Cricetulus griseus: one gene and its partners. The protein of the gene in region 2 purifies or fractionates together with the protein of the main gene of each other region. This does not show direct contact. Links are inferred from orthologs where the notes say so. Each region holds a gene or a part of one and is shown on either strand. Other genes may lie near its edges.

What was found.
Region 1: the proteins of Eng (region 2) and Tgfbr1 purify together in Homo sapiens (affinity purification with western blotting; 5 studies listed by BioGRID and IntAct, with this or other methods). This does not show direct contact. The link is inferred for Cricetulus griseus from reciprocal best matches to the Homo sapiens genes ENG and TGFBR1.
Region 3: the proteins of Eng (region 2) and Acvrl1 purify together in Homo sapiens (affinity purification with western blotting; 3 studies listed by BioGRID and IntAct, with this or other methods). This does not show direct contact. The link is inferred for Cricetulus griseus from reciprocal best matches to the Homo sapiens genes ENG and ACVRL1.

The regions. Positions count from the first base shown.
Region 1 is NC_048595.1:96,063,517-96,067,801, forward strand, and holds the start of Tgfbr1 (TGF-beta receptor type-1), read right to left. Parts: upstream 2,840-4,285; 5' UTR 2,829-2,839; coding exon 2,597-2,828; intron 1-2,596. UniProt on the Homo sapiens protein: Transmembrane serine/threonine kinase forming with the TGF-beta type II serine/threonine kinase receptor, TGFBR2, the non-promiscuous receptor for the TGF-beta cytokines TGFB1, TGFB2 and TGFB3.
Region 2 is NC_048599.1:144,389,489-144,393,115, reverse strand, and holds part of Eng (endoglin), read right to left. Parts: intron 2,714-3,627; coding exon 2,518-2,713; intron 1,690-2,517; coding exon 1,524-1,689; intron 1,105-1,523; coding exon 978-1,104; intron 534-977; coding exon 359-533; intron 183-358; coding exon 40-182; intron 1-39. UniProt on the Homo sapiens protein: Vascular endothelium glycoprotein that plays an important role in the regulation of angiogenesis. Required for normal structure and integrity of adult vasculature. Regulates the migration of vascular endothelial cells.
Region 3 is NC_048595.1:397,567,918-397,572,044, forward strand, and holds the start of Acvrl1 (serine/threonine-protein kinase receptor R3), read left to right. Parts: upstream 1-1,288; 5' UTR 1,289-1,404; intron 1,405-2,848; 5' UTR 2,849-2,905; intron 2,906-4,127. UniProt on the Homo sapiens protein: Type I receptor for TGF-beta family ligands BMP9/GDF2 and BMP10 and important regulator of normal blood vessel development. On ligand binding, forms a receptor complex consisting of two type II and two type I transmembrane serine/threonine kinases.

The DNA.
Region 1 (4,285 bases), on a different chromosome or scaffold from region 2:
CTCAAGTGCTGAGATTAAAGGTGTGGACCACTATGCCAGGTTGGCCATAGCTTCTTGCTTCTTAAACGGAGTCATAACTGCATATAGAGGTGGGGGGGGGGTCACAACAACTCTGGCAACAATAAAGGGCTTCTGAATACACAACACCCAAAAGTAAGTCAAAATCAAATGAGCAATGACTCTGAGATGTTTCTGGAGGTGCATGTTTGTGTTGCATGATGCAACTTCACTGCAGCCTTAGTTCTGAACACACATGTTGTCATGCTATGCAATGCCAACAGAGTCTGGACTATTATTTTATGAGGCTTTAAAAAATATTTGTACTTATGTGCATTGGTGTTGTGACTGCATGTATATCTGCATGAGTGTGTCAGGTACTCTGGAACAGGAGTTACAGACAGTTGTTAGCTGCCAAGTGGGTGTTGGGAATTGAACCCAAGTTCTCTGGAAGAGCAGTCAGAAGGTGCTCTTAACCACTGAGCCATCTCTCCAGCCCCTATTTTACGAATTTTAATGTTTTTATTGTACATACAAAATTTTCTACTTTTTCAGAAACTTGATTAACTACAAAAGACTTTCATTCCCCATGTGTATCAAAGGGGTGTATCCTTAATTGTATTGAGTTAGAATGTTTGATTTGAAAAACTGTTTAAGTTGTTAAGTTTCATTTTAAAAACTGTTAAAATAATTTCATCTGGTGATTAAGACACAACAATTTCTGAAATGGCTCTAAACATATGCAATTATGTGAGGTGGCATTGGATGATTTAATTCTCTATGTAAAAATAAACTCACCCACTTCATTACAATGAGAATTTGCTTTAATCTCTAATAAACAGTAGTAAACTGTATGTGCCAATGAATTATTTTTAAAATAATTTTATTTATGATCTATTATCAGTATGTTTGACTTATATACCTGCTTTCTACATCTATATATTCAAGGTTACATACAATTTCTTGAGAAATGAGGGTAGCAAATGGGAAAAGTTTATTAAGTGTTAGTGTAGGCTTTGAGTAATAAAAGCATCTAGGCCAGTTTTGTACTACACAATTGCCTAAGTAGGAGATAAACTCCTCCAGGGCATGGACCAACCTTCTCAGCATCCAAATCAATACTGCTAAATATATGAATGTGTCCTGCTTTGTCCTAGGTAGAAAAGAATGAATTACTTTAGTCAAATAACTGTGTAGAATAATGGCCACTTAAATTTGATGCATAATTATAACGATTCTCCCACTTTGCCCACAGTTATCTTCCTTCCTAAGCCAATGTTAAAACCCACTGTATACTATGTGAATGGGTCAAGTAAATAAAGAAAGACACCTAAGTTGTAAGAATTAAATATCAACTGTTCTTTACCTGGGCTATGCTACTTTGGTGTAGCAGGTGCCCCGATTTTGAACTCTGAAAGACCTAAACACAAATCCTAACTTCTACACTTAGTAAGACGTTAAATCTCTTGCACCTTAGTTTTCATGTCAATATACAGATAGCCCTGATAGTTAAGTTACAGGTCTCAGATACTGTACTATGGTGTACCTTTTGTATATGCATTAAAATCGACTCCTAATAAGTAATGACTATCAAGTTTAATAATAGCCGGCACCCACAGTCCTGAGGGACTTTTTTCGGCTTTTGCTTTTTAAAAAATTTTGTTATCCAATTTCAGCAACAGAAATGCATTTTCACTGCATTTTCGTTGCTAATGCTGAGCCTCGGTATTTTGTTTTCTCCTGTTTTAATTTGGTTACTAACAAAGAGTAAAGTTTTTCACTCTTCCCTCCACGGGGTGACACAACACCTTCCCCCCCCCCAAACCCAGCTACAGATGTCTGATCTAAAACTACCTTCACTTAAGGAAACGATATATCCAAAACAACGATTCCTTCGAGAAAATGAAGCATTCGGCCATTTCTACAGGATCAATCCCATTAAAACGTTCCCAAACCTGGAGTGAACAAACGTTCAAGTTTCTACAACCAAGACAACCCGGAGCCTTCTGATTACTGGACTCTGAACTATTCCTAGACGCAGGAAAGGAGAACATTCCGCGCATCTTCGCGCCTGCTTCTCACACAAAGCCCCCGGTGGAAGAAGAGTCTCCCTTGGCGGGTGCCGACACTCACGACAGAACCGCCCAACCGGGGTCTCAGCCCCCGGCGCCCCTTACGACCCCCGGGGGAGCCCTCCACGCTCCGAGCCCCCGAGCGCCTCCACTCCGGTGCCCGCCCACGCCCCAGCAGCCCCAGGCCCCGGCGCACTTGGGAAGGGCCACCGGGGCCACCGTCCCGGCCAGCCTTGCGCCCCTAAGGGCAGCCCCCGACCTCCGCAGGCTAGCCCGTCGCTGCCCCCGGGGAGCCTAAGAGGGCCGGCCTCCCGGCGCTCGGCCACCCGCGCCTGACACCGCCCCCGCCCGCCTCTCCTCCCCGCCTCGGCTCGCGTGGCCCTGCCGGGTCAGGAAAGCCCGGGCCGGCCGGCGCCGCCACCTGCGCCCCCGGCCCCGCGCCATGTTTGAGAAAGAGCAGAAGCCAGCCAGAGGCCGGGCCCGGCCCGCGCGCCCCGCAGCCGCCCGCCCGCCCGCCTGCCGCTCACCCTTCGTCCCCGGTAGCAGCGTCGCCGCCGCCGCCACCAACAAGATGAGAAGCAGCCGGCGACGCGGAGCAGCAGCCGCCGCCTCCATGGTCCCGCCGCCACCGTTTGTGGCCCGGCCCGGCCCCGGCCGCAGCTTCTCCTCAGCAAGCCTCGCCTCGCCTCGCCCCACCTCCCCGCCGCCGCCGCGGCCTCGCTCCGGCCCTTTGTAACTGCTCGAGGGACGCGCGCCCATTGGCTGGCCGGCTCCCGCCGACCCCGCCTCCCCGCCGCCCGAGAGCGCCCTAGAGGGACCCAGTCGACAGCCCCGCCCGCGGGGCCTCTGGGTGGCCAATAAGCGGCCGCCGGCTTCTGCCTCTGACCACGCCTCCGCACTGCTGGGCCTCTGACCACGCCCCCGCACAGCTGGGAGCCCCTACTCCAGCCACAGCGGGGCGACTCGCGGTCTACCGGCGGGTGGGGGCAGGGTCCAGCCAGCGCGCGAGACGGAGCCCGCAAGTCCCGGCTAAGCGCAGAGTGTGCCTGTGCGAGTTGCTCAGGGAAAGACTGTGACCGTTGCTCGCTCTTTTCTTCTACCCCAACCCCACCCTGACTTCCCCTGCACCACCCTACACAGCAAAGCCCAACTCTCGACACTCAGTCCTTCAGTACCGTCCGCAGTTCAACTTCCCTTCCCTAGACTCACACCTCAACTTCCAGCCTCCCCGAAAGATAACCTGATTTCTTCCTGCTCTCTACGTCCGCCCCAGACCTTGTCGCCCCCTCCTCAAATTCCAGTCCCAAAGTCGGATCCCAGATTCGGATACCCAAGGTGGAGCTCAGACACACCCCCGATTGGCCTTCTGCCTCTCAGCAGCATAACAGACCCAGACCGGGGATCCCAGCCGCCCTCCTTCCCTCCCACCCTTCCTGACCCCGCAGGGAAGCCGAGAGTCCCACGGGTTTCGAAGGAGGGGGGATTGCCCTGCCGAGCATCCCGCCCCGGGGCGAAGCGGGAGCAGTCGAAGGTACTTTGAGCTGTCTCCGACACGCCTGTGTAATAATTTCGAGGTGTCACTAAAAACCCAAATAAACTCAGCTCCGCTTTCATTCTGAATTCCTAATTTACTGTGAGACGCTCCACCCACCTTCCCTCTGGGACGCCAAAATGAGCTCCAGATTTGTAATTCTTCCTGTCAGACTAGTCCTTTCTTCAGACACAAACACAGCCACGGAGGCGGCCGCATGGCACCGGCAGCATTTTTCCGCAGAACCTTTTAAGGAGAAAATTTTATTTTCTGTGTGATTTGAACTCGTAATTAAATAAAGCTCGGTAGTAGGAATCAGCCGGCCTTTGGTATCGATTGGTAAATTGCTTTAGAGTCACTCTCCAAGAGTTTGATCCTGCTATGAAGGGAAACCGTGGGGGTTAGAGATGGGGTCTGAGACTCCTCCTTGGCTGCAGCTGGGGCATGCTTGAGCAAGTCCTCCACCTGCCAGAGCCTGAACAGGCTGGCTCTCAGGGCCTGCTCTCTGGGGCTCCAGAATCATCAGCCCCCAGCTTGCCCGGCTCAAGTGCAGTGAGGCAGCAAAGACTGGTCAACTTCAAATGCAATAGGCTCTGGGAGGCTTAGAGGGCCTTGGCACACCCGAAATCTCCAGTGCCTGCCCCCACCTCACTCCCACCCCAAAGACCTATGCAAGTACCCTACA
Region 2 (3,627 bases):
CTGTGTCATCCTGAGAAGGAGCGTCAGGGATTCACTTACCTGCACATGTTTTTTACTGAGTTCCAGAGTCATGATGTCATTGCCACACTTCGGCTGGATCAGGGACATGAGTAGCCCAGAGTTGCACCTGTCCTTGGGAGGTGTGGTCACAACTGGTGCAGGTGAGGTCTGTGGCACACGACCTGTGGGGCCAGAGGTGGGTAGAGTGGACAGTCACTGAGTGCTCACTATGGGCTGAGATCATTGTCCTTATGTGGCTGATGAGGCCAGTGAGGCTGAGAAACTGGCACAAGCTCAAAGAACAGTGTGGCAAGTAATCTGGGAGAAGAGAGGACAGGGTCATGGGGCTGGGGCTCACCGCAGCTAGAGGCCCTCAGTGAGACATCACTGGCCAGGGGCAGCTCTACAAAGGATGCTACAATGCTGGCGTTGAGTTTTCGGGCCTCCCCTACCAGGCCTTGGGGTGTGTCTGGAAGCACAAAGCCTTTGATGCTCTTTTCTGGAAAGATCTTGATGGAGTATTCACCTGTGGTCTGAAGGCAGGAAAGGTTAGCAGGGGCCGTCAGCTGTGGTGATTCCTCTGCCCCCCTGCCTGGCCACCCATCCCCTCATCCCCTTTTTTCCCTTTGTCCTTCACCCAGAAGCCTAGGTTAAGGAACTCCTTGGCCCATTATGAAAAGCTTCCTGGAGGAAAGGGCCTCTAAATTAACAACGGAAGGAAAACAGGTATTAGAGACAGAAAGTTAGGGTGGGCCAGTGATGGTGGCGCTTGCCCTTAATCCCAGCACTCGGGAGGCAGAGGCAGGATCTCTATGAGTTCAAGGCCAGCCTGGTCTACAGAGAGAGTTCCAAGGCAGACAAGGCTACACAGAGAAACCTTGTCTCAAAAAATCAAAACAAACAAACAAAAAACCGAAAAAACAAGTTGAGGTAGAATGATCACAGGTCTCAGGCTGAGGTGGGGGTGCAAGGCTCACCCATAACTGCATGTTGTGGTTGGCATTGATGAACCAGGACACATATGGAGGACCCTGCAGGATGAGAATGGCATCGGGATCCCCAGATTCACAACTCAGTTCCACATTTACGGTCACTGTGCGGTGCCTGCAGCAGGTAAAGAAGTGTCAGTGCAGATAGAGTGTAGGCTTGAGTGTGGGGACACACCTGGTGTGTTGGCTTGAATAAGACGTCACATATAAATCTTGGGCACTTGAATATTTGGTTCCCAGTTGATGATCCTGTTTGGGAAGGTGTAGGTGGGCCTTGTTGGAGAATGTAGGACACCTGGGGTGGGCTTTGTGTGTGCTGTCTGTTTGTGGTTCAGGGTGAGAGCTCTCAGCTTCTGGAGACATCCATTCTGCCACCATGAACTCTGACCCTCTGGAACCAAAGGCCAAATAAACTCTGTACACACTACCTTGGCCATGGTGTTGTATCCTAGCAGTAGAAAAGTAACTGCTATGCCAGGAGGATAAGATCTGATTGACTGGGAAGGGCCCCGCCCAGGAGGCCAGCACCCTTACCTGGCTCCAGAACCTGGCAGGATCCTCAGAATATATGCCTCCTTGTGGCCAGTCACATCTTCCAAGGAGCAGCCTTGGACTGGAGTGGGGCCTTGAGGTTGCCATTCAAGGATGGGGGCCATGTCCTGATGGGCCTCTGCCAAGCAGTAGGGTGGTGCCTTTGGGGCTGTGGAGACAAGCATATCAGAGAACCCTACCCCACTCAGCCTGAGGCAGTTGTGGGGACATTCAGGACAGGACCTCACAGATGGGAGGACTACAGAAGACTTACCTGCTAAGTGCCCGGCCTTAACATAGGATTAACATATGACTGAGTCCATGGCACATGTCAAGGGTATAGTCCCCTCACCCCCCACCTGGCACATCAGCAATCAGGTATTTCCCTTAATTGTTCTCCATATTTTCTCAATGGAGCTCACTGATTTGCCTAGATTGGCTGGCCAGCAAGCCCCAGGGACCCTCCTGTCTCTGCCTCCCCAGTTTTGGGGTTACATGTATATATCAGTTTTGGGGTTAGATGTGTATATCACCATGACAGCTTTACACATGGGGGTGGCAGGTCCCAATTTAGGTGCTCATGCTTATGTGGCAGTCATTACACACGGAGCCCTCTCCTTTAAAGACACGGTCTCATGTAGCCCAGGCTAGCCTTGAACTGGCTATGTCACAGAGGATGACCTTGGATTCCTTATTCTCCTGTCTCCACCTCCTGAGTGTTGGGATTCCAGATCTGAGCCACCGTATTCAGTCTGTATCACTGGAGGTGGGATCCAGGGCTTACTAACGTACCACCACTCTACTAACTGAGCCCCATCTCTAGCCCCTTGTGCTGAGATTTTCAAGGTCAAGAAGAAAACTTGGCGTTTCTCACTAGCTTCAAAAGGTACCGTCCAGCCATGTGTGACTTTGGACAACGCATGTGCCACCGTGGGCTGGAGTTTCTCAGTTTCTTCTGCAATTGAACCTGAGTCCAGAGGCAACTAAGGAAGCTGACCTTGGCCCAGCCGGAGGACGATGCTTTTGGGGTCAACCAGTGTTGCCATCGAGGTGACAGCACTCTTTTTGGCTGCCCAGTCAAGGATCTGCTTCCTGGAGGTGGGGGACGATGGTAGCGTGGCACTGGCTTCTGTGGGAGGCAGCACTGTGGTGCTGACTTCCGGTTTCTCTGTAAGGGTGATCAGGTTGGGGTCCTGTGGAGACACAGAGTGCTGAGTCCCTGCTGACCTGACCGTGGAGGTCCCTAGTTTGGGGAGTCAGCTCAGTCAATTGGCAGAGAAAAGGTCAGAACCAAGAGTGACAAGACTCAAAGGTCATCAGCTGGCCCAGAGGTTCCCATCTCTGTCCCATCTTCCCTCTGCACACAAGAGCTACAGAGAGGCACTCATTTGTTTGTTCATCTCTTCCAGCTTCACCCTCACCACCAGGCACTCATTTATAATGGCTTCCTGTAGCTGTCTGGGACCCTCCACACTCCGAGGGTGTGTGAGGGGAATCTCAGTGCCCATCCTCACACAGCATTTGACACCTTGCAGGCACCAAGTCTTTGCTCATTGGAATCCTGTTGTACTAGTTGCACCTTGACACCTGCCACATGGTAGGTGCTCCCAATGCGTGGAGAAGGGGGAGATGGAAGGGAAAGAAGACAGGCATGAAAAGTAATGAATGGTTGAAAGACAGATGGAGTGATACCTGCCCTGGAAATCTCACCATTCAGAAACTAGATAGACATCATTATTTGAAGTAATAGAAGGCAGAGAGTCTTATTTAATAAGTAGCAGCAACAATAACAACAAAAAGGGAGGTGCTAGAGAGATGGTTCAGGGTTTAAGAACCCTGACTGCTCTTCCACAAGACCCAGGTTCAATTCAGTTACCATCTGTAACTACAGTCCTAAGTAACTCAACACTTTCCTGGCCTCGGCAGGCACAAAGAACCATGTGTGATGCACAGACACACATGCACACGAAACACCCAGACACATAAAATAAAATAAAATAAAATTTAAAAAGAAATGAGAACCAAGACAAGTCCTCTGGACAGCTGAGGATGGGGGATCTGGGTGGATCTGTGACCCTTGGGCTCTGGTGAGTTAAGAAAGGAAGAC
Region 3 (4,127 bases), on a different chromosome or scaffold from region 2:
TCGTGGTATTCCTATTGGCTCCACGACAGTCTGTTCTGATGCTAAACTTCAGTTGTGCTGGGGTTCTGGAAATTCAGGAGACTCGCCATTCAAGAAGCTGCGGCAGTGTATGTGTGTGTGTGTGGGGGGGGTGTCAGCAGAAGAAGTGACATCAGTCTGAGCAGCTGGCCATTGTCTCCCCCAGCCTCTATTTCTGCCAGAGGCTCGGACTGAGGAACTAAGATAGGCACCATCTTCTTCTGTTTGTAAGATGGTCCTCTGTGTACCATGCTCATTAACACATGGGACTGAAGACCTGGAAAAGTAACGAGGGTCACAACTATCCTGGAGTCCCAGTTGGTGGATGTACTTCAGAGTCAGTGTGAATACTCACAAGGCTAAGAATAAAACTCAGGTCCTGCCAAGGAAGGCACACTCCCAGTGTGCCTTCACTCACACTCCCAGTCTGTACAGTGGGGTCAGGAGGAAGACTGTCGTCATCACCACACGGTGCTAGCCCTTCTGCCCCATTCCCCAGCTGCATGTCCCAGCCTCTGGAGGCTCCATCCCCTAAATTCTAAAGCCCATCTGGTGGTCGCCCACCCCCACCCCTGCATCCTTTGGTTTGACCTCTCCTCAAGGAGAGGGCAACTGCCATGCCCTGAGGGGCTCGGATCAGACTGACTCAGAACCGACCTATCTGGACCAATCCAGACCAATTTAGCCCTAGGATGAACATTGATGGACAGGACTGCAGAGGAGGGAAGGGGACAAGTACTAAGGGTGAAGGGGCTGGAGCTTGGAGGCAGAAAGATTTAAGACAACTGGGGAGTCCCAAAGGGCGGAGCCAACTTCTGACCAGACCCTCCCAGCCCAAACTCAGCTCTCACTGCACTGTTCCTTAGACACCCCGAGAACCTGGAGTGAGGAAGATGAGGACAGGTACCTTGGCTGATACCTTGTGCTCGTCCCTCTCAGCGGTGCCCACGCCGCTCCCTCCTGAGCCAGGAATCCAGATTTCTGACTCTGGGTGCGTGCTACCCTTATCCCCTCTCAGGGCCCCAGGGTCATGCCTCCCTTCCCAGGACCCACGAGACCCCCAAGGCCCGGGTTCGAGGCCAGTCCCTTGGGGGGGGGGCTGGGGCGGCCGCACTGGGGTCTGCAGCCCTCTGAAGCGCCAGGCCCTGCGACCGGGAGGCGTGCTGGGCAATAGGAAACGGACTATTAGGAGGGAGTGGTGGAGTCGGGCCAGGCAGGAAGAAGCTAGAATAAGAAACATTTTTGCTCCAGCCCCTTCCCAGTCCCGGGAGGCCGCCGCGCCAGCCGCGCGGATCGAGCTCTTCCCCGGTCCCAGGCCGGCTCTGAACGCGAGACCCCGGCCGCCTCCGGGGAGGATAGGCGGGGGTCCCGTTGCCCCATCCAAAGGTGAGTGGAGGTCGCGTTGGACCGAGCGGGGCGACCTGTCCCTAGTCTCAGTGGACTTTTCCTTCAGAGATCTCTGAGATCCTTGCGTTGAGGGGTCAGTTTTAGCTGGACAAGAGAGCCAGCAGCCCCCTGGTGTGGACACATACCTGCCTGTTATGCCACCTGAGAATGGAAGGGAGCTGGACGAATCCGGATGTGGAATGGATAACTTTTACTCTTGCTAGGTGTCCTGAGGCCTTTAGCTTCTCTTCTCCAGTCCCTATTCATTCACTTAACTCTCTCTTCTATGCGTATCTGTGAAAATAAAATAGGTCAAAGGATTCTTCCCCACTACGGAGCTCCCACATCCCTCCAGGGTGCTGGGTTAACCTGGGAGTGACTTTCCATGTTGTTAAAACTCCTCATAGAGCCCGAGTTTCCCAGACCAGCTCTTGCTTAAGGAACTTGTCATTACAAGGCCATATCCTAAATCTTACCTCTAGCCCTAGAAGGTCACAGAATTCTCCTGCCGTGAGTGTCCCAGGCTATCAGTCTGTCCTGGAGAAAGAGGACTGCTCAGTCTGTCCTGGAGAAAGAGAACTGCTCAGGCTGGCTGCATTCTTAGGCCTTGCTCAGGGGACACATTCCTCTGTTTATGACTAGCCTCAGAGTTAAGAGTCAGGGCCAGTCCTCCCTGACCCTTTACTACTCCATCTGTCCTCGGGGTCTGTCCTCTCCCACCCCTCACTTCTGTTTGTGCCCCTACCTGTCTTCTCAGTTATCTTCTATGTAGTGTGTGGTTTTTCTCACACAATCTATCAGATGGGAGATCATTGTGCCCTGCTTGTAGGAGAGAGGCCCACTCCAAGCTTTGGTCAATGACGCCGGGAGACATCATGGCTTGGTTATTCTTTTTGAGACAGAACTGGGTTCAGATTCTCGATTCTCCTGCCTCGGGAGGCCTCTGAGTGCTGGTGTGTGCCACCACACCTGGATATAGTTGAGCTTTTAGTAACACTAAGTGCATCTTTTGTGCCACTTAATACACTACCAAGTAACTCTTCTACATTTACCTAGGAAATGTCACCCTTCCTGCCCCAATCCCATAGCTGTTGGTAGTAGAGACGTGACTTGGTTAGAGCTGGTATGTTGACCCCTGTACTCCATAGGAGTCTCCCCTGTCTGCAGTTTCCCTGTGGGGGATTTCAGTCGCTTACAATCAACTGTGGTGTGGAAATAGTTCATGGAATCTTCCAGAAACAAGGGGACTTTAAAGATTTAAATCCATACCGTCTCCAGAGTGCAGTTAAAATCTCCTGTTACCTTGCCCAATCTCATCTTCTTCATCTCTGTATCCATGCTGTATATGTTACCTGCCTATTAGTCACCTAGTAGCTGTCAGGGCTGTCAGGCTGACTGTGTATCTCTGTGCTTATGCTCAAGTAACCTTTATTTCACTTAACAGTGGCCCAAAGTGCAAGTGCAGTGGTGCTGGCGGTCCAGATACACCAAGGAGAAGAAGGTAAAGGTGCTTCCTTTAAGTAGAGAGACAAAGTTCCTTGCTAAAACATACTGTTGTGGTTGTTGTATTTTCTTATTAATGTTAATGTCTTCTGTGCCTACTATGCAAGTTAAACTTTAGTATAGGTATGTTATAAGTAGAGAGGAACAGGACATGCAGTTTGGCTCTGTCGGTAGCTTCATATACTCAGTGTGCTTTGGGGATGCATTACCTCAGATGAGGGGACCATTGCACTGTGCCACTTTGCAGATGCCTAAGACCCTCAAACCTAAGCTTGTTCTGTGATATCCCACCACTACAGAGTTAATAGGAAATGCAGGTGAATGGCTGCATCTGTAAGGCCCAGTGAGTGTTGAGTGTGGAAGATAGTTCAGTTTATCACAGCACTGTTCTACCTTGGACAGTCAGTATGAAAAGCCCTGATGCTGTGGAAGCAGGAAAAAGATTGACAGCCACCATCCAGGCACACTCTTCTTGGGTCTCACCTGAGCCTCAAACACTGGTAATGGACAGATAGTTTCTGGGCAACTACAACACTGTGCAATGAGACCTGAGGAGGGCATCAGTCAATGACACCAGGGGGACATATTGCTAATGTCTGCTGAGACCTAGGATACCTTTGTCCTGGGGCTCACCTAAGTCCAGACAAATAGAGGAATAGCAATGGATGAGGAAGGATTTGCTGTTGACAACTTACATTTACCCAGTCATATTCAGCACTCCTGTAGGAGTGTTGTGAGTATCCGAAGAGACAAACCACTAAAGCTCAGTGCCTGGCACAGAGTGAGAACTCAGAACAGTTTGCCTGCTGTTGTTTCCCGGTGTTAAGTTAATGTTTAAAAGTCATCTAACATTTGTGATTTCTGGCCAACAGCAGCAATGCTTGTGTCCGCAGGAGAGCTTTCGTGCAATTTTGCTAAGAAGTAAAAGAGAACAATAAGACACAGATTACCGCCCCACCCCATGCTTAACCTGAGATGGGACTTGGTTAGTGCCATCACATTCCCAGGGCTGGACCAGGAGTGACTTCTACATTACTGCCATCCTTCACCTATGCTGCTGTTTAGAACTGAACATTTTCTCTCACACCCATGTTTACCCTCATGCCGCAGAGTCACCAAGTCCCTGGTCTTGTGTTACTCTTTCTTCCCACAGAGATGGGGAGGCACCTAAAGGAAGTAAGAATCCCTTCCCTCTGTGACCCATGTCCATCCACACAGCA